Styela clava: one gene and its partners. Each later gene encodes a partner of the first gene's protein in a complex. Links are inferred from orthologs where the notes say so. Each region holds a gene or a part of one and is shown on either strand. Other genes may lie near its edges. The genes, in order: transformation/transcription domain-associated protein-like, vacuolar protein sorting-associated protein 72 homolog and mortality factor 4-like protein 1.

The links.
Region 2: transformation/transcription domain-associated protein-like (region 1) and vacuolar protein sorting-associated protein 72 homolog share a complex: the UniProt entries of both Drosophila melanogaster proteins name them as parts of the tip60 chromatin-remodeling complex. The link is inferred for Styela clava from reciprocal best matches to the Drosophila melanogaster genes Nipped-A and YL-1.
Region 3: transformation/transcription domain-associated protein-like (region 1) and mortality factor 4-like protein 1 share a complex: the UniProt entries of both Drosophila melanogaster proteins name them as parts of the tip60 chromatin-remodeling complex. The link is inferred for Styela clava from reciprocal best matches to the Drosophila melanogaster genes Nipped-A and MRG15.

The regions. Positions count from the first base shown.
Region 1 is NC_135262.1:5,122,237-5,129,859, reverse strand, and holds the start of transformation/transcription domain-associated protein-like, read right to left. Parts: upstream 3,096-7,623; 5' UTR 3,018-3,095; coding exon 2,933-3,017; intron 2,482-2,932; coding exon 2,432-2,481; intron 2,157-2,431; coding exon 2,046-2,156; intron 1,574-2,045; coding exon 1,469-1,573; intron 1,032-1,468; coding exon 948-1,031; intron 445-947; coding exon 388-444; intron 1-387. Other genes in the region: copine-3-like, read right to left, coding at 5,887-6,264, 6,824-7,060. UniProt on the Drosophila melanogaster protein: Part of the Tip60 chromatin-remodeling complex which is involved in DNA repair. Upon induction of DNA double-strand breaks, this complex acetylates phosphorylated H2AV in nucleosomes and exchanges it with unmodified H2AV.
Region 2 is NC_135254.1:7,385,210-7,392,891, reverse strand, and holds vacuolar protein sorting-associated protein 72 homolog, read right to left. Parts: upstream 2,651-7,682; 5' UTR 2,600-2,650; coding exon 1,652-2,599; 3' UTR 555-1,651; downstream 1-554. Other genes in the region: dimethyladenosine transferase 1, mitochondrial-like, read right to left, coding at 1-97; kelch-like protein 12, read right to left, coding at 3,982-5,689, 6,312-6,319. UniProt on the Drosophila melanogaster protein: Part of the Tip60 chromatin-remodeling complex which is involved in DNA repair. Upon induction of DNA double-strand breaks, this complex acetylates phosphorylated H2AV in nucleosomes and exchanges it with unmodified H2AV.
Region 3 is NC_135257.1:13,338,317-13,345,630, reverse strand, and holds the start of mortality factor 4-like protein 1, read right to left. Parts: upstream 3,034-7,314; 5' UTR 2,625-3,033; coding exon 2,582-2,624; intron 2,021-2,581; coding exon 1,819-2,020; intron 1,472-1,818; coding exon 1,401-1,471; intron 1,152-1,400; coding exon 1,081-1,151; intron 788-1,080; coding exon 686-787; intron 24-685; coding exon 1-23. UniProt on the Drosophila melanogaster protein: Part of the Tip60 chromatin-remodeling complex which is involved in DNA repair. Upon induction of DNA double-strand breaks, this complex acetylates phosphorylated H2AV in nucleosomes and exchanges it with unmodified H2AV.

The DNA of each region.
Region 1 (7,623 bases):
TTACCTCGTGGTTCAAAGCCGTTAGATTTATCTGTATCGATATCACAAGTTACACACTCGGATTCAAATCCCAAGTACACGACCTCATCCAGGATGTAATAAATTGGGCAATGCTGAAAAGATTCTGATCATATCAAAAATGGAAGCTTTTTACAGATTAATTGATATCAGTGGCTTCTAGTACATAGCCTTGTTTAAGAGTGAAAGGTGTAATGAAAGCAATGTATTAAAAAATGATATTCAGCAATCTTCTTGTAGGATCTGAGATTTATGGTGAAAAACATGTATTCAAAAGAAGGCACAGAAATTCCTATCACATATTTACGCCCAATTAAAAGTGCCAATGCTTTTCATGTATATCCCTCAACTTTATATTCAATACTTTACCATATTTCTTGGTAGTTCTGAATAGATTCTCTTCACAAGAGCAAGAAAATGTTGGATCTGAAACAATATAATAAAAATTAACAAACAATTTATATCCATGCCTAATCCAAAGTTCCAAACAAGCAAACACAATATCTATATAACAAATGCACAAACTTAAGACAGTCAAGACTACTTTTCATCCCACAGTCAGCTTAGAATTAGAAGTGGATATATTATAGCAGGCATGTTGATTTAATACACTTGATTATGTTATTATTGCAATTAGAGACATCAGGTTCAAATTCCATGTCTATCATTCCAGCTTGGGTTGTCAGAACATTGGGTAGGTTGTGCAGAAACAAAAAATTAGACCCCTTTCGCAAAGTTCATCCATTAGCGATTACTTGAGTAGAGTCTTGTTGAGTGTTTGAATGCAACTTGTACAAAATAACCTCAAAAACTTTGGCCAGTATTCCCAAAATCACACATATCTTGAAAATGGACGAGACTAACAAAAGAGTATTAGGATTAGTAAAATGAAAATTAGCGAAATATCAAAATACAGCTAAAACTTTTACCTCTGGTGCCATTTGTGGTCTGAATTGTTTATGGAGCTCAATCAATATTTTTAAACAAACTTGAACATTTTCTTCATTGTCAACCTGGATTGCAAAAGACAATTTTTAATATTTAAATTCTCAATATGGCTGAAAATTGAATATCAGTGGCTGATTATACATGACCTTGTTCCAAGCAAAATATGTGAATAAGTATCGTATAAAAAACAATTATTTTAATGTACGACATCTTTTCCATCTTTTTTTAAGCAAACACACAAAGCATTACAATGGTTACTTCGTAGTGTGTGTATCAGGTTAGGGTTAGGCCATAATTTTTTTCCGATTTTCCTTATTTTAGTTTTAGTACGAGTTCAGGACCTGTCTGTGTTAGCCAAGTGAGTCTTTCCCTGCCAATATGTTCAGTCCCTTTACGTTACCGTACCGTCCATATTGGTACATAACACTTCAAATATAATTTTTGATTTTTAGGCAAGTTAAGTCAATTTACTTGAGTTAAGTATGAATTACTTGTACATTACCTCAAGTAGTTGGAAGCATAAATTGAGAATCATTTTAACATGAGGTTTCAAATAATCATTTGTTGGAATCCGATGTAGAATGTCAAGAACAAGTTTGCGAAGTTGCTGTAAAAAAAGAACGTTAAATAAAATATCCATTGTAATAATGATAGCCCGATATAAAATAGGTTCGCAATTTTGATAATTATTAAATGTAGAAGTGGGCAAGATTGAAATCTCAGAGATAGATTTGAAAAGCAAGTTGTTTTAAGTAAAATATTTCGATAATCTCTTAGAAATATTTTGGTGCTGTTATATGTATACTAGGTGTCACATTTTTAACTAATTAGATCCAAAACTCAACTTTGTTGGCATCGGAAATTAAAAAAATAGTTAATTACAGCTCCCAGCTCCACCTGTGTTAAATTGGAGGCAACGTAAAACAGTAAAGATTTTCAGGTTATTGTAGAAATAAAAGAGATATTAAAGACTGTTGTTCAGAACTGTAATAAGTGTGAAAATCTAACCTTTGACCTCATATAAATACAAGGTCAATTTCTATTTCCAAATGAATAATTCACCATTATAGTTTTCTAACCTGGCCATGATTTTCCAGTACAAAGCTTGGTTCTCCATCTTGCAATAATTTGACAAATCTTGGAACACAATGATTTAGAAACACTTGATACTGAGGAGAATGTGCAATGTCCTGAAGAATTAATTATTGATAATTAATAATAAATAATGAATACCGAATGAATAATGAAAAAGCATAAATATGGTGGTAATTTAAGTGGATTATTTCAGCAATTACAGTAAAACAGAAAGCATTTATCTGATTTCATTTATATTTAAAAAGTTCAAAAAGGAATGAACAAAAATCTGAATTTCATATTAATATCATTTAAGTAAGTATAAGAGCAGAGTAAAAAAACATCCAAACTTCGATCAAATAACTGCATAGCAATAAAAAATTGTACAAACCTCGAAATGTTCGCTCACTTCTTGAGCAACTTTCAACTTATTTTCATCCTCTGTTAGAAATGAAAACAGCATATAAAACACAAAATATAAAAATACAGAAAACTAAAAATTCAAAACAATATTCATAAAAACAGTAATAGGACCATCTCCAATTCTTATGGGATTAAGATTTACATATAAGACGGCTTAATCACATGGCAAACCACGGAATCTCATCCTGCTGCCAGTCCACGTTGGGTATGGGATTAGATAGCCAGTGGATAGACTTGACGGCAGAGGACCCCTCACCGCCCAGCGATTATTAAAACTACTTTACGGCAGCGAGGTGTCCAGAAATCTTCTCGAATATAATTAACCCCCACTGGATACGACCTGCAAACTCACGGACAGATGGAGGGTCTTAGCATGATGCGCAACACCGCCGAATTCTTGAATTACAGTCTGAAGTAGAAACATTCTTGTAGCAGAAAATGCGCTGATAAAAATCAAAATTTTACTTACGAGCCAGTGGATCATTGAGCAGAGACACATATTCCTTGTATTTGTTTATTTCTTGGTTGATGTCAGATGACACTGAGTGAAGCATGGTTCATGCAACCATATACATACAATGATACAACAGTGACAGACCCACTGTCTTATGCCGTAATTGTATATTTAGTCAATATCTGTATTAAGTGAAAATCAGTGATTTGGTAAATCGGAAAAAAACACTACCTTATAAAACCAATATGTAGGTAGGTATAGGGAGTAACTTAAGGAGCTGGGAAAATCGAAAATAGCTTTTCTCAGCTGTCTCTACTTACAGACTTAATAAAACTCTTACTGTCTTAGTAGAATATAGGATAGGATAGGATTTACATATTTATCCCGGGGGAGTAGAAAGCCGATAAGATGGCTTATCCATATGGCGAACCACGGCCTCTCGTCCGGTTACCATTCCAAGTCGGGTATGGGATTAGTTTTACTGTATTGTTTGTTTTCGGAAGCATGGACTTGGTGGTGGAGGAAGCCGTAACTGACCAGCGGTTACGTGAACCACCCAACGACGGCGAGGAGTCCAGCAATCCTCTCGCACATAACCATCCCTGCATGGGATTTGAACCTGCGAACCCACGCAGAGTAGTTAGAGGTGCGGTGGCGAGCGTATTTCTACTGCTTAGCCCGTTGAGCCACACCGCCGCGCGGATTAGTCAGTTTTTCCTCATTTGTCAGATATTCCTCATTTTAGGCTTTTACATCTTACTTTCATGTGTGCACTGAATTAAAGTAACCCATCTATGTATTCACGAGCCTTTACTACGTTAGCGCAAACTTGAAAAAAAATCTGCACAACTCAGACACACCAACAATTCTATACTACGTGTCTTATTCCGGTTTATACTTACCGGCACCAGGCGCCTTCTCGTCTATTTATTCAAAAAATCGAGAAACAATATAATACTGTGCATATACTACCACATCTATTTGCGCAAATATGACAAAAAACTTGAAGACGTGCGTAAAAAATCTGAAACTGATTTGCTAGGGTTCTGAATTGAAGCAACCTCGCCGTTTTTTGCCTGTCTGCACAATATTTAGTATCGTACTAAGTTTTATTCACGACTTTTGCCACAAGAGGGCTTTTATGTGTAGGTTGAGAGTGTTAATATGTCGTTTTATCCGATTAGGATTGTCCTCATTGTTCTCGCCTTGCATTAATCGAAATAGGTATTAGCTTGAAGTCTGTTAGTATGATTTCATCTTGAGTTTATGAATATTACCTAACTAAAACTGCAAATATCTACTCGGACGACGACACTGCTGATTTTATCAAGTTGGACCCATTGAGGTGAATACACTTCAACGGTTGAACCTGATACAGCATGGACACATTCGACTTTATCATCGCTGGAAGAGACAAATAAGGAAAGAAACTAACATCAACTTATTCACTGATTAAAAGATTTTAAGCTATTTTTCTGTGCACCTTAAGTAGTAATGACAGAACAGTTCATGAAAATTATCCAACACATTTTAGATGCATTGTTGAAAATAATATCATTTTGGGGACCCTAGAGACCATTTGGAAGTGTAAATGTGCCTGCTGTAGGCACTAGATGGAACAAGAAAGCAAGCGATGCTCAAATATATGAACACAAAATCCAAAACAAAGTTCCAATCGTTACGAGTATTATTTATTCTCCGAGTTTTGCGTGGGTTTCGCATCAACTCGGAAACAGCCGTCACGCTTGGTGGATTAAATACCGTAAAAAGAAGAAAAATTCGAACAAAAACATCATAATAGCAGAACGATCCATAGTTCCATTTCAAGTCCGGTAATATTTATCGGGTTGAAAGTTAAATGGCTGCACTGCTGCGGTAAAAATATTATAAAATGTTTTTCTGTGTGATTAACATTAAAGCATGCATTTGGGTACAAACATTAATCTGTAAAATTTACAAATTTAATAACTCTTTCTTGACTCAGTGTTTTTGGCTTTGATATTTCTCAATATTGATTTCAAATAATATTCATTCTATTATGTGCTTGCTTTGTTTTTGTAGATGGGCGAGCATTTGCGCGTGTTCCAATCTCATTCTAGACAGCATTTTATTTGTATTGCATCCTTCTGTATTTTTCTCGTTCGAGCAGCCGAAATATATTATTGTAATATATATATATTTGACCAGAACATGCAAAATGCTTGCGACTAGTCGACAACTGCTGACCACCAACCATATTTCAAAATATTCGAAAATTCGTTTATCATAGACGACAATGAATGAACAGTATCGAATTTATATTTACGCATGCATTTTATGTTTCGCAATACACAATATGTGAAGAAAGCGGAATATTATACAAAAGCAATGAAAAATTAATGGCTTAGTTATACATTTGAAGATACGAAAAGCAACGTTTTATATTCATTTATGTAATAAACTTATTTGTAAATAAGATAACCCATAAGGTCCAGATTTACAGACTTCCAATCCATTTGACCAAAGATCTTCGAAGAATAGTATGATCAAAAGCGATTAGAAGATACCCTTATGGTTAAAACAAAATGGGTCTTCAAAAGTATCCAGAAATAATTAAAAAAGTAGGCTACAAGAAAGGTCAAAAGAAAGATTTATTTTTTTCAATTCATCGTATTGAAAGCTTGAAAACCGTCGTTTTCTCTAAACCGTTTCTTTTGGAAAAAGCTAGATAAAAATATCTGAATCTGAATCTGATAGTCTTAAACTATGATCAAGTTCGTTTGCGTCTTGGTTGGAAACAAAATGGGTGTTCAAAATATATTTAGAAAAGTGAAGGAACAGTAAAATAGAGTTTGTGGTTTTTAATCGAAGGATTGAATGATCGACCATAATAACTGTCAAACCGTCATTTTCGGTCACACCGTTTATTCAAACCGTTTATTTTAGAAACATCTGCCCCCAAATTTTGATTTAATCTCGTTTATTTTCAGTTAAAACGCTGAAATTTCCACATCTGGATTGTCTTTCGCGGCTTGTTCCTGAACCTGATCTTGGTTCGCATCGCTCTCGCTAACGCGAGGACTTCTTTTTGGACTCTCAGGTTTTCCATTTTCAATCTCCAAGTGATTTTCTTGGGTTTCTGGCGTTTCTTGATCTGGAATCTCTTGCTTTGGCGGTTCCTTTGGCGCCTGTCGTTTTTTAACCGGAGTTTGAGTTTCGTTTATTTCTGGTTGTTTCTTAACTTCGCCGTTTTCACGTCGTGGACTTGAATGACCTGACGTTGGATCGATTTTCTTAGACGCAAAGTATTCGGCGAGTTGCGATGGGATTTTTTGCAACAAATTGCGACCGAGTGTATCCATCGATTCCTGTATCAAAAATGTAAAATACGTAAATAATATATATAATCCAATGATTTGAAATAAGTTCTGATGAGAATACTGTATTACTTGAACTCTACAAATATTATAGAGCGGACGAGCGAGGATAAAGCTGTTCAAGATTAAAATTGAAAGATTAGATTTCTGCGAACATCAGCATAGAGTTTAAAAAATTGAGAAATTTTCATGTGCGGTTCAGTTAGCATGTTTCAAAAAATATCTCGCAAATAATATTCCTGCCAGTTGTAGAATTATTTTATATACATTGTTATCAGATAAATTCAGATAAAAAGTCTTTTTATAACTTGCGAATTTTCACCAGAAATACAACAATGAAAGATGTGTCATTTTCAGTACAAAGTTAATGTAAGACATATGCATACATTCCCAACTGGAATGTTTTATTTCTTATTATCAACGCATTTAAAAAGAGCGAAAATGAGGACAATAATGAAATGTTAGTTTGTGACTAGTTTTTGTATATATAATATCACGATGAATGTTTGTATACAGTTTACTTGATACTTATGACGAAAATCCTACTCACAAAATTAAACTTTCGGAATGAGACAATCTGAGTAATATCTCTTGCAGCGCACTCTCCTTCTTGAGTCTTGATATGCTTTGCTCCTTTGCTCATAAACTCCATATCACTGAAGTCTGCATTTCCAATCCCAACAATGACGATTGAAATTGGAAGTTTTGAAGCGCGGACAAGAGCCTTCTTCGTTTCATCCATATCTGTCACCACACCGTCAGTCAAGATAAGGAGAACTTGATACTCCTGTTAAAATTGGAATGGAAGAAAATAAAATATAGTTTTTTACAAAAAATTAACGCACGGGCCACGGCCCCTCTTCAATTGTCAATATAACGAAATAGTCTTGTTCACTTTGGTTACATTATTTTACGAGCCTTGTAATTATTGTACTGCAATCACTAAACCAACTGAAATCTAATGCGAAATGCACGAAAATCGCTCTGAATTGCGAAACATAAAATGCATGCGTTAATAGAAATTCAATACTGTTTATTCATTGGCTTTACTCTCTGTGATATACGAAATTTGAATGTTTTAAAATCTGGTTGGCGGTCAGTAGTCAGTCGAATAGTCCAAGCATTTGTGTATTCTGGTCAATTTTTTACAATATTATATATCGGCTGCTCTTACAAAAGCAATAAATAAACATTAAATATACTAATCCACCCATTCCTTTTTTCTCGAACTGTTCTGCGTTGCTGCTTAATACCTATCTAATTGAACAATTGTTTGAAAAATATCTTGTGTAAATCTTCATAACAACTTTGTGGCAGAACATGAATTTCCCATTTATTGTCGATAGAAAA
Region 2 (7,682 bases), on another chromosome or scaffold:
AAAAATTTTGCGCCAACTGTTTCTTTGCTCGGACATTATAAATTTTAAGAATGCTTGCAATGGATGGCAGAGGCGGTAACCTTAACTTTGGTGGCATATTCAATCTAGAAAAGAAAATAATTGATATAAATGGAAATAATGAAGAAAAACTTTTCTTTCAGAGTAACAGACCAGATATTACTGATATCTAGTAAACGGTGACCGGACATTTGAACCCATGCGTATATCCGCGGGTTCAATCTATATGCGGTTGCTAAAACCCATGGGTTAGGGTGAGTATGGGTTCAATTATCGGTAAAACAAAAAAATTTCCATATGTGCAATAGTATGCAGGTGCAATTGTCATGGGTTCAAATGTCCGTGGGTTCAAATGTAATGGAACCCTAGTAAACATTACCAAAATCTTATACATGAAAAATTGGAAAAATTTTGCAGCACAAACAAAGAGATACACTCCGAATAATTTTAATAGGTTTAACAGTCACATATTAGAAAATTTAAGTGAGGGCTCGGCAGTGTGGCGCATCGTGCTATGCGATAGGAATATGCTCGCCACTGCACCTCCGATTACCTTTTGTGTGTTCGCAGGTTCGAATCCCATTGGAGATAATTATGTGTGAGAGGATTGGTAGACTCCTCGCCGCCATAGGCTGGTTCACATAACTGCTAGTCGGTTAAGGCTTCCTTCAGCATCAAGTCCATGCATCTGAAACAAATAACTGGTTAATTAATCCCATACCCGACATGGATATGTAACCGGACGACAAACTGTGGTTTATGTGATTAAGTCGTCTTAGCAGCTTTCCTCTCCCTTGGGATAAATATGTAAATCCTACCGTACCCTAAATGACAAAACAGACCAGGGTACAAACATAAAGATAATCAAGATCTCAGGCGATTGGAAATTTTTTCACAAATAAACAGAACTGCACTATAGCTTAGGCTTGGAAAAATGTAGAATAAAAATTAAGGCAGTGTATACTCAATTTTACAAAATTTGAAAGAGTTCAACTTCAGGTGAACATGACAGCGTATAGATTTTAAAATGACTCATCAAAAAAATTTACATGATTAAGTCGCATGTTGCTTTTAATGTGAATAATCCAAACCATTATACAGTGTTAATTATTTTTTGATGGGCAGCAAGGTCATAACATCTGAGCATTTTACTACGGTAAATTAGTAACCTTGCCACAGAAGAATGTTCCTGGAAATGCTTTTTGAATCGGAAAAGTTGGCTTATGCATCAGGAAGCTATCAGTCTAAGCCAGGGTGGTCCAAAGTTGTCCGCTTTGGGAACAACAATATTAATTTTGCATTGTTCAGGGGCCACAATAGTGCCAAGAATATGCAAACAGTGCAATAAAAAACAAACACTTTTATTGTGCAAACACATCGATCATTATTTGTCATTTATCAAGCTAAAACATGCAAAGACCATCAAAAAACTTTCTAAAATGTGCAAATCGTCATAACTCTTAGTCAATTCAGTGACATTAGTGATGCAACAATATGTCGAAAGATTTTTCTGGTTATTTTTATGACTAGACAAATGCGATTTTTGATTAATAATCTCCAGCAAATGTGACACGGGCCACAGATAATGAGGCTGCCAGATGTAACCATCAGGTGTAACCAGAAATTTATAGAATCATTTTACCTTATCACGTTTTGCCAGTGATAAAGTATGTGCTTCACGAATAAGTTTAAAAGCATCCATGTCATAATAAGGAATATTAGTAAGTGGGTCTATATATCTGGCAGGCTTATTTGTAACTGGACATATAGGTTTATTGATTCGAGGCTGTTTTTTCCAGTGGAATTCATTTTTAAAAACTTCAGGTTCAGAGAAAATTATAAAATCTCTCGAAATTTTTGATGGCTCATCCGGGTCCACTGATGGCATTGTTGTCGATAAGTATTTGATTGTTGGTTCTGCAAATGTTCGCTTTTTTGTGCTAGATTTTTTTCGATTTGCTTCGAGACGTTGATAGTTGTGCAGCGATTTCAAGTTTTTACGTTCCGTTCTTTCCGCCTCTTGCATTAATTCTTCCTGGGTCAAACGTCTCACTCCAGCCATTGGTTTTTTCACAGTTTCTTTTTTCTTTTGGTCTGCGATTTTACGTTCTTTTACTTTCATGCTTATTAAATAGGAATTTGCTGCCGTGGCGCGACGAGATGATTTACGACTTGGCCCGTCATTGTTTACGGCAGTTGGTTCAGTTTTTTTCGCCTCTTTCGGAACTTTTTCTTCCTTGTTATCATCACTTTTACTAATTTCTTTTTCATCTTTTTTTGCTTTTTTAATTGAGGGATCTTTATAAGCTTTTGTGTTCGCTCCTCTTTTTCGTTTTTTCTCAGATTGTTTTATAGTTTCTTCATCTTGATCGCTGACAATTTCATCGTTTTCCGAGATATCGAAATCTGAGTCGACTTCGTCTGCGGAATCTTCTTGGTCCGACTCAAAATCATTATCTTCTTTTTCCTCTTCAAAACCTCCGTACGTAGTCTTATAAAAGTCATCCTCGTCTAGTTCCTCTTCCATGACCTTTGACATCCGATTTCCTGCAGTACAACGTGGCTCTCTTGCAGCAGCCATGATGATTTATAGCAGAAAAAATTTCACTAAATTTATAAATTCGATTTTGAGTCTGAAAATACAAAAAAATGCAGGAATATATGTTATATCTACAGTGGAAATAATATGAAAGTGTTTTATTTCTCTATGAAAAAGATGCCAACTCATGGAACAGTGGTAATGTAATTGTAGAACACAATATCTCAGTGGTTAGCATACATACGATATGTTACAGTTTGCACCAAATGAGCAGTAATGTTACCCAAGATTAATAACATGAGGAAGTAATTCTGGGCGGTAAGATTTTTGCCCAAATTTTTTGTTTTTTTGTACTTTTATTTGAATTATCAGTGGTACATTCGCTATAATCCTGGCCTCCCCTGTGTAAGGGGCAAAAACGGTATTTATAAAATACCTACAAATAAGATTTTAACATAAATAAAAAATTGAATTGAACATTCAAAAGTATAATACGCCAATATAAAGAAAAAGTAGCCACATACACATCATCAACAATATTTTTCAGAAAAGCACACTGTCAAAAAGGAATAAAGTAACAGCTTTCAAAACGCAAATCATGTTATTATGGTCATTCAGCTCAGGAAAGAATATACCAGCGAATAAAATGAGGGATTTAAGATGGTAGAAATAAAAATTTTACAAAAATAGAATTAAGCAGTTGGTGGAAATGATATACACAGTGGGAAATGAACTAATGCCATTGATGGTAATTTTGGTTTAGACAAAATTTAAATTCTATTATTCACAAGTCTAAGAATACAGTGTTCATAATAATATGTTATAAAATAATAATGATATAAATTATATTTTCATGTTAATAATGAGAGCTCGACCAATATATCGGTCTACTGATATATCGGGCCGATATAAATTATATAAATTAATTCCGATCGGCAGTAAACCAACGATATATATCGGCCAAAGTCAGTAAGCGCCGGGGTGCGTGCTTCAACGGCTCTCGCCTCTGCATAACTGCCGGTTTCCCAATATTTCTATCGCTTTCATTTTGCGTTAAAAAGGTGTCTCTCTTAATTCCCTACAATACCAGTACAAACATAACAAGCTTCTACTTCACAGTGCTGGTTTCAAATGATCCATTACATCAATATCGATGAATATTAATTCCCAATACAAATTTTATACACTTATAAGTAATACAATAATCGCATAAAATTGCTGAACTTGTGTGTCAATACAATTGAAACAATGCAATCAAACCGAGTTCAGAAGCTAAAACTGATTTGTGAGACTGCGAGCACAGTTTTTTGTCTTCCAGCTGGAAGGCGACCTGATAGCAAATAAATGAGATCTAAAAGACAACAGTTGTGTGTTGACAGAAAACTTTTCTAGGTAGGGAAGTAGATCAACAAATTCAACCTTTGCTAAGGGAGAAGAATATACAGTGGAACGGAAGCATTGGCTTGAATGAATTTTCCACTCATTTTATCTACAACATTCCAGTTATTACTCTCAGGATCCAGTTCTTCAATTGTATTGTTAGAAAGCTCCCCTCCAACAACAAATAGCTTATCTCCCACAACACATGAAGTAAACTTTGCCCTTGCATTGTTTAAACTAGCAACAGTGGTCCACGTTTCTGCAACTATATCGAAACACTCTACAATATTCAAATGGAAGCTTTGAGTCCCACCCATTACATAAATTTTTTCCTCGAGTCCGGCTGCAGAAGAAAATTTTCGTGCAGTTGGCATTGACGGAAGTTCTCTCCATGTTAAATCTAATGGATTAAATCTCAAGTTATTCGACATATGTCCAGTATTGTTCACCCCTCCTATGCAGTAGATGAAACTTTCAAGAGAAACAATAGATGATCCAAATCCTTCCACTGGCTTATGCGTGACATCAGACCAAGTTCCATCATATGGGTCATATTTCTCAACAGCATTACTATACCAACCATGATCAGCAAATGCGTAAATATAGTTGCCAAAGGCAACACCGATCGCACGTTTCTTAGCTGATTTTCGATCGTCCAGTCGAACCCATGTAGCATTGATGTCGATGTAATCCAACTTATAATTGTTCCCGTAATTTCCAAAAACATATATAATGTCATTAAGCACTGCTGCAGTGAAGTATTTAGCAACAAATTCCTTATCGATCTTCTGCATTTCTGTCCAGGTTTTCAGAAATGGATTGAAAACATGGATGGAACATGTTGTTTTACTAAACACTGCAATTACATTTTCATTAGTCACAAATTTTGAGGTGGCTATGTCAACATCCTCTGGCTCTACATTTGTTAAATCATTGGCTTGAGTTAGAGCACTCGTACATAAATCTGAGTTGAAAACTGAAGGCTCTTTTTGAATAAGATATGACCGATATTTCGAAGCAATTTTAGTCAAATTCAATTTTTCAAAAAGTGCTTCAAAAGTAGAAGTTCGAGTTCCTCTCTCAAAATTTGTCCAAATAATCAGAGCCTTGCATTTTATGTCTTCGGAAGCTTTTGTATTCCGTGATCCAATCAACAAAGAAACAAATTCCTTCTCTAAATGTTTAAAATCATCCTTCATAGCTAAATGTTGAAAATTTTTTAAAGCAAACTTTTCACAACATTCAAGTAATTTTGTACAATTGAACATATCTGCAATTATCTTTGCTGAATAAAACGACTCTATATTTATTTTCTTTCGAAGATATGTCGCAACATTCTCGCAAACTTTTTGTAGCTGCATAATATGAGCAGTATGCATTAGTTGTTTGCAATTTTTAGAGTCAGGAATGCTAACATGTCCAGTGTAAATGAAATCAATGCAAATCCTAACGCTTGAAAATTCAGTTTGTTTCATTTGAATGACGCCAGATCGACTTTCAACATTTTCATGAAACAGCATTGCTCTGAAATAGTCTGACCCTGTGGACAAAATATTTCTGTGTGCTAAGATTTCTTCATTACCAACCTTTATTGCAATGTCACAATATTCTTTATTTTTTCTCATTTCGTTAAGCTTCTTCATTATTTCTGCACAATGATCTTTATCATATCCGTCAGCAGTTAGTTCCATTTTTGTGATTGTGAAAACTAAACCAGAACCCAACAAGACTTTGACAGTTATGGCCACTCTTCTAAAACAGTAAAACAAGCATAAAATAGCCTACTAAGATGGTCATACAGAAGGTTAATTACAGAACAGCGCTGAAGTTCGGCTACCCACTGATACAATGTTACAGGTACTATATGCCGATAAAAAAGCAATAGTAGGGTGTCGGTACCGTATGCCTGTATGCCACAGTTTTCGAATATTACATAAATATAAAATGTACGGTACGGTAGCTCAATTCAACAATGCTAGTTGTAGTCTATTTAGACAGTAAAGTAAGGAGACGATATGTCACGGTTTCTCAATATAATATATTCAAATCGCTATTATAGAATTAATCTCAATTCAACAAATGCGGTACCGGTACCTTCGCTTTCTGTTGTAAAACTTTTAGCGAGTCACTATCAACGAACGCGGGATTCGTGTACACAAGGTAAAAAGTAAAGACGCGTCCTTCAATTTCCCAAATCAGATGAATGCGCCACTTACAACTAAGGAAATTCCGCGCCGTTAATCGTTTTCATAACAACATTCAAATATTAAATAAAACAAATAAATAATTATGATATTCATCAGTAATAACTTAAACCCATGTGCAATTACATTTCGAATTTTATAAATGCGAATCACAGAAACACGTTGCTTACCTGCTCATCCATGACCTGACCGAGCACTTTTCATTGGTTTTCAAGGGGCTCACTTTGCCGGACTCGTCAAGTTATGTTTAAAAATATACGCATTCTTTATGCCACGTCACACCCATAAGTTAAACTAGGGTGGTCCAAGGTTGTCGGCTCCGGGACAATAAAATTATTTTTTCATCGTTCGCGGGCCACAATAGTGCCAAGATTAGATAAACGGGGCAATACAAAACCCTTTTATTGTACAGACACTCATCAGTATTGGTCATTTATCAAGCTATAACATGCAAAAACCACCAAAAAACACACTAAACTCATCAACCCCAAATGCAATTTTTTGATTACTCTGCGAATGCGACGCGGGCCACATGAAGCTGGGTAATAACGGGCCTGGGTTTGGAGCACCCTGAGTTAAACTAGCGATGATTAAACCCCAAATGATGAACAAATATACTCTGAAAGTGTATAACTCGGGACATGTAAACATTCGCAATTATACAGGCGAACAGTGAGACTTGATGTACGGTATCATTTTACAGTTTTATTTACAAGGTTGCTCAAAGCAAAGTCGTTGGCCTCCAACCAAAAGTATAATGGGTTTATCCGTAAATATATGGTTTATCGAATTCGGCACCCTTTCAATCTAGGCTAGTTGCTAAGTCTTGCTATATTCACTGAAGGTAGCATACCGTATATCCTAAGCAAAACCACCGTCAAAATATGCTTTCGTGGCCCTAATTACCGGTTTTGGGCCAAAGTGGGATCACCATTTCTTATTAGGTACCGGGTATACCGGTACCGGAACATATAAAATCATAGGCATCCATCCTACCACTTTCTACAGAATCTTAGTATTTATTTGAGCATCTGTAATGAATTAATGATTGTTCAGTGACCATTTTCTGTCCTCACCCATCCCGCTGTACTCATTAGTCGGTGACTTCATTCAGTGCAACACATATTTATAACACATTCCCAAGTACCAAAAAAAACAGTATGTACATGAAATGTGTTTATTATACCTGAATTTTATTTGTATTTCTTGCCAGATTGGAAAATGGCCACTCGTCAAACTAGACCAGTCTCTCTGACACCTCGTAACTCGAAACAGTATTACAGGTCTCCAATGGTGGAGGTTTCATCAATGCACAGGAAGATTTACAATACTGATGAGCGGCATATCTTCAAGGTTGAATTGAAAAATAATTTGAATTGTGAAAATGGCATCAAGGATCTTCCAGTATTTTGGGTAGGAATTTATTAATAACAATGTTTGATTTCATAATACCATAAGGAAAAAGGGAAGTTCATCATCTAATGTCAATTACAGATGGTTGTGCGCACCTAACGAATTCTAGCCATGAGAGCCGAACAACT
Region 3 (7,314 bases), on another chromosome or scaffold:
TTACGAGCTGGAAGATGATACAACTGAAATACATCGAAACAAAATAATCAAATAAAGCATTACTTTTACTGGTAAAAAGGTGATAGAAAAACACACGAGATATTTTTAAATTATGATTTACAATAGAAAAAAAAATGAAATTTGCATAATAAATAAATAAAACTGATTATTGAATCGTGAGAGAAAACAAAAACTCGAGTAAAATTTTAAGCGTACAGATTTTAGATGGAAAGGTATTGATAAAAGGTTTAAAGAAGTAATACTTGTTCGCTCACCCAAAAGAATTAAAACTAATTAAGGCACGCACGCACACACGATCACTGAGACACGATCGGAAGAGAAAAAAGCAAGATATAAAATCAATTAATCAGTAAAAAATACCAATAATGATTGAATTTTTTTGCCACACCATATTAATAATTTGATGAGGATTGCCAAATTGGATATCGAATTAGCCAACAGGAGTTATATACTGTGTTAATAAAACATAGCTCAAACAGGGTTATATATGAATGATGACAATATAAATAAATGGATTGAGCCTCAAAAAATTGGTTCTTACACAGGATGTAATGATTAATTCCATATATAGCTAACTAATATGAAATAGTAGACATAAAATAAATTTGAATAATTGATTGCGATATAAATTGATAATAAATATTGAAGATTCTGATTGATCTACCTGCTTTTGTCTTGTTATCAAATCCCAGTCATCCACAAGCATTGGCTTTAATTCATCAGGCATTTCAATCTTCACTTCAACTTTAGCAAAGAACGAGTCCTCCTGTTAAGTAAGAATAAATATTATTGTGCAAAATTACCCAGAGCAGAAAAGTCAAATAATGTAGCCATAAGGGTTTATGTAACATGATAATATATAAATTGCCAAGAATCAGAAAAATTATTTCTCGAGTTACTTTTACCCAGAATTAGTAGAAATATCCATCAGATATACCATTAGTGTAATTTCTTTTTCAACTTGTTATTAAAGGTATCTATAGCAATTAACGAGCAAATTCCACATCTTCCCCCATTGTCTAATCCTAGTATCTTTAAACATTCAAGTTGAAAACCCACCGTTTCAACAGTGGGATCGACTTTGTTTTTCTTCTTTTTAGGTTCAGCTGAAGTATTTGGCTCTGTAGTAACTGTAGAAATAAAATTTTATTGTTATGGCCCAATTACATAATCTACGAATATTACAATTGAGAATCATACATTTTGATTCATGTGAGATGTGACCCAAAGAATAGTCCATTGAGAAATGTTCATGAGAGCAATCTTTACACATTTTCCAAGTTTTCAGTTTAACTTTAGGTCCCTGGACAAGCTTGATAGTTATTAATTACTATAATTAAAAATACTAACTGCTTATTTCAACGAAATGTGAAATTTACCTTTTTTCTTTTCAATACTTTCCTTTTCTGTTTTTGGTTTAGGGTGCTTGCCTCTTCGCAATTTGTCTTTTCTACAAACAAATGAAAAAAAAAATGGATTTGAATGGATTGGATGCTACTGGTGATAAATTCATAGAATATACGATAGCAATGGGAATCATATTGGATGGTGACAATGTAATATGATGAATATTGAGTTTTTTTCGACCTGTTTTAACACATATTAAAAGAAAAAATCAGGCAGTTTAGACTCCACTCCACATTTAATGAAGCAGAATAAGTGGGTGATTGGTTGCTTAGTTGGCTACAACTAGAATGGCATTTTACTATTGATAAAATAATGAATAACACCAGTAATATCCAATTTGAGGATGGAAGAGATAATGAACAGTGATAATGATAAACACATCAGACTTACCCATGTTGTTTCAGAAGATCCTTTTGTTTCTGTAAATTAGAGTCATTATATTTCAAAACCCGATTCTCTTGTACCCATTCATCCCACGATTTGTTCCAACCATTGTAGTGAATAAGATAAGCACATTTATGGTCTCTCACTTCAGCTTTTACACATTTAGCTTCATAAAGAAGTGGCCCATGAAAGCAGAGAACTCGTTCACCTGTTGGAAAATGACATCAAACTAAGATAAATTATTTATTAATAATCAGCTTATTGGACATATTCACCTTTAAAAGTGAGACAATTTTTAAGCAATGATATATATATATATATATATATCATGTCAATGAATTGTATAAAGCGGAAAGAGTAAAAATTAACTATTGCAGACTGCAGTATTGAGAATACCAAATGTATCTATTTGTTTATGAAAATTATAACTAAGGTTTTTTTTCATGTTTATGAAATTTTCTCCGACCTAGACCAAATATTTCCTTATAAAAATGAATTCTGTCCGATTGAAGTATCATGTTAATTGGAATCTAAGGCAACTCTTAAAGCAAATTTCTATCAAGTTCAGTTTAACATAAGAGACCCGCAAAATTTCTAAACTCTTGGTGAACTTCCAAATAATTTTGAACATTCCATTGGGTATGACCATTTTCGAACCGCATAATAATTAGCATAGAAGAACTCAAAAATTAGAGTTTGAGTTAAACTAACATAATTTATTTATCATTCATCGCAAGAAATATGTTAAGATTTAGTAATAATTTATTACCATCACTGAATTTGAGCTTGGAGCTGTCAGATTTTGGTGCCATTTCTTCTAAATATCCTATTACACTGGTTGCTTATGTCCATATAACAAAATTTCGTTCCCATTATGTTGAAATATATATTTGCCCATATTGTTATCCAGTTCCATGAAAAATTTTATTGTTTCAGTAATAATATCCATGTCACCGAGTGAGGTGAAAGTTGATATAGGATACAGCATATGTAATAAAATAAAGCAAATATAACAATTACAAAATATCAAGTGGCCCACTACTGATGAACTAATAAGAACCAATGTCATCATGAATTGTCACAGATAAGGTTTTGTGCATATATCGAATTTCTGTTATAATGTTTTTTCAATTATCATTCGATTCATGCAGTTGCAGTGCTGACTTGGGCACCTGCTATAGGCCATGTTCACAATACAACGTAAGTACTTCTAGTTGGCGTGGCACAACCATTTTTGCTTGTCCTTCCTAAGCCCCACCTGAATTCAAAGAAATACACGAACTACTCGTTTCATCTTTCAAGCTACTCCTGTTACGAGACTCAATAAAGTTCATAATAACTAAGAACCGAGATTCACAAGCATATATGTAGATAAAAAAAACATGGAGAGTAATGCAGTTGCAGAGTTTTTAGGACACGAAAATATTTTGGGAATGGCCAAATCACGCAATAGTTTGTTTTCTGCACTTCTCTCTTGTATTCCCTTCCCTAATCATTTATATTTCTTTTGAGATCAATTTATAACAGTAAGTTAACAGGTAACTCTCACCAACATGAGCTGTACAACTTCATAAATTAAGCGGAAATGAGGAAAAGGGTGGCACAGACGAACTATATTACGTAAGAATGCAGCCAAATTAATGCTGGGCTCTTCTCGAGAGCTTACTCATTTGTTACACATAATACATTTTTTGTAGCCATATGTCATGAAAGAGAAAAAAAAAGTTTAAATAAATAACGAATTGTTAACATACGATAATGAATAAATTAACAACTAGTTTCATCAGATAATTCAGAGTCTCCAAACTTTTTTTCTGAAGGAAATGATCTCGTTTTCGAGGATTCTAATGGGCTCGCGTGCCAGTGGTTGCCCACCCCTGCCCTAGTGCATACCGGTATATATGGGATAAAAATGATATTTTATCATCTCCCTTTTTTGTATTATTATTTTGTCCCAATATCAGTATATATAAAATAAAAAATAAGCACAAACAACGATTATCGGTTTATATAACCATAATATCATTGTGATCATTAAATTTCGTTTTTTTTATGCATGTAGAATTTTCTATTCTTTAATAGGCCTACTGCCTATTTTTCATTATCACAACTATGACTCATAAATTGATTCATGTATCGTGAATTCGGTATCTCTATAGAGCAGTGTTTCCCAACCCGAGTCCGCGGTCTCAAATGAGTCCGCGGAGCGTTTGAATGAGTCCGCAACGAGCCAGAAATTTACTGCGGGTCGCAAACCTTTTTGCGAAACCTAACTATCAGCCAAGTTACGATTTACGTTAGAATTTACATAAAACATAATAAGCAAGTTTATTCACATAACATTAATCGAGTCACTAATTACTGGTTACTAAGTAGGGCTGCTCATATATTCGAAAATTCAACTATTAGAATATAAATTTACTATTCGAAAATTTAGTAACAAGTGATGCGACGGGTCACTTGCGCGCGCTTAATCAAACGATCGTATTTCCCAATTCATTTACAGATTTCCGACGAAAACACGAGTCTGCACGCGATTCGATAGATACCTAAATGGTGTTTCGCGAGTTCGAACAACGAGGAATATATTTTTTTTCTGATGCTAAGTGTCAAGGGTGGCAACCCAAATTTTTTAAATTGAAAAGCGGAAATACTAAAAATAAAACGAAGAACACCTTAATTAAGTTTTGTTTTATGATGGTCCGCGATTAAAAATGCTTTTTTAGACACTACGAATCGCAAAATTTCGGGTGCTGCGGTAGTATACGTACCAGGGCATTTTCCCTCAGAATTCCTTGGATTTTCCCTCAAGATTTTTTGAATTTTTCCTCAGGATGCCTGTCGGGCTCGGGTCAGGTTTTAATACCCACGGACCCGGGTCGGGCCTGCAAATCCAGTTAATTAGTCGGGCTCGGGTCGGGTTTTAATACCCACGGGCCCGGGTCAGGTCGGGCCTGCAAATCCAGTTAATTAGTCAGGCTCGGGTCTGTCGGGTTTAATACCCACGGGCCGGAGTCGGGTCGGGCTGGAATTTTTTAGCCCGATCTTACCTCTAATCCAAACTAAATATAATCGGGCAATATATTCTCACCTCATCATAGTCCCAGATTGCCTTGCCATTTTAAAGCAGTAATGCTTTCATCGAAACAACCGCGAGTTACCATGAACACAATTAAATTAAAATAAAAGGACATTTTAAATTCTCGTCGTCGTCATTGGATTGAATATTGTGCGACAGAAAAGGCCATTTTATACACTAAAAAAATTCGTCTCTTTTAACGAACGCGTAATTGCGGCGAATTTCCGATTTTGAAATTCGTTAAAGTTCTGTTGTGTTTGGTTTTATTGCTTTTCACACAGAGTACGCTTGCAATAAACGCACATTAAGTCCGCAAAGGTTTTCGCCGGTAAAAAAATAGGCCGCGACCAAAAAAGAGTTGGGAAACGCTGCTATAAAGGCATATGAAGAAACCGGGCAGCCAATAAATTACAGTTAAATCTGGGGGCTCGTGTAGTTTCGTACCTAACGTACTTCTAGTGGTGAGTGGGCGTAGCATAACAATTTCTTGATATGTTAATAATCCTAACCCCCATCTGACTACGCCATCCAAAAATTACGTCACTACGACATCACAATCATGTCATAGAGCTTGCCAAATATACATACCATCGCCCGAAATAGCATCGGCGACGACAATAAAGAACTGACTAACGTCATCGATCTCTGCAACGAAAAAAATAGCTCTTCGATTTCGGGTGCTCATCTGCGCGTCTTGGATGGAAGTTCGTATAGTTTGAAGGGCTCTATCACGTCACTGTGACGTAATTTTCGGATGGCGTACCGGTAGTCAGGTGGGGGTTAGGATTGACATGTGAAAAAATTGTTATGCTACGCCCACTAGAAGTATGTTAGGTACGAAACTACATGAGACCCTAAATCTGTAAGTTAACAAATTGTAAATTAGGAATCTCATAATGAAGTTGAGTTTCAATATCAGAATCTATGTTGTTTACACTTTACAATATTCACAAATACTTGTGCAATGCAAAACCATGCAATGTATTGTTGAGAACTATAGATTTGTAATACAGTTTAATTTAAAAGACCTTAATTTTGTTTTTTCGGTTGATGGAAACGAATTTTCATATATCTGTCCCTCTGCAAATTGCTATCTTTTTTTTTTTTTTTGCCAAATAAATTCCAATGCCAAACGGAATTTTCGTATATTAATTTTATTGTCGAATTAGTATAATTTGCACCCAATTAAAACAATTTCATAATTTCAAAACACATTGCCCACAAGTTCAAATTGCTATCGCATCTCATCACCTCCTACATATGAAACTTCTACTACTCTTTACTGACTCCTCGCGGATAGTGATAGGTGTTTATTTTAATTACAGTTACCAGATATCATGACAATTTCGAAAATCACAGTGACATTAAAACGATAGAAAAGCATAAATGATTCAAATTATATATATATATATAAATATACAATTATATGATTTGTTCTGTTCTATAAAGTGTTGCCTTTTCAATTTGCCGAAACCTGTATTGATTGTCGTAATGATACTTTATTGGTTTATTGCTTACCTAGTTCGTATTCGATTCAACACAATATGCAATGCTAAATTTAAAAAAAAATCATTGTAATTAGGAAAATAAAGTAATAAACTTTTTTCCCTCAAATATTCACAATTAACTTTTTTGAGTTTGCTTACTCGGATTTCCATACAGCGTTGTCAAATATGGCAACTATGAGTTCACCAGCACGGATGGTCCTTTCTGCTCTGCTGTGCCGATCGATAGGTACGTTCGCGTTTTTATCGTCGCTGTCTTGTCATAAAGGCTATTTTCGTATAAATTTGTTGGTGTATTCACAACAAAAGGGTGCTAAATTAACATATTTGTCATGGTGTTAGGGTAGAAATGAGTTTAAAGTATTGTTACTGATACACATTCTTACCCAATTACGATAATCCAAATTAGTCTGCTGTATTCATTTTCGATCTAGCTATTGTTGTTTATTTATACGATATAGCTTACTATTTCACTGATTGATATCTAAAACTGTGATAAGTAGTTTGTACTGCAGTCATTCAGCTGCTTAAGTTTACCTGCTACTCATGTTTACAACCCTGTTTTTGCCTTTTATAAATGAGGAAATACGAATTGGCAATATCAGAATATGGACATATAAACTTATAAATTGGAAAGCCAATACAAACTTGGCATTAACGCAGCAACAATGTGAATCACATGATTAGCTAGGCTTTGTACAGTATTTTATTGATTCACAAAACCAATGCTGTGAACTTACCGTAATTTTAGCATATAAAAAAAAATAAAGTATATATATATTTTTTATTTTGATTTATAATTGGAATGTTTATTAATAGCATGACATTGCTCTATTTGAATCTCATTTTTTTTGTTTTCCTAAGTTTTAATTTGATTTTTCAGAACTAAGTTTTAAGTTTCATCTCTGGTGTTAGACT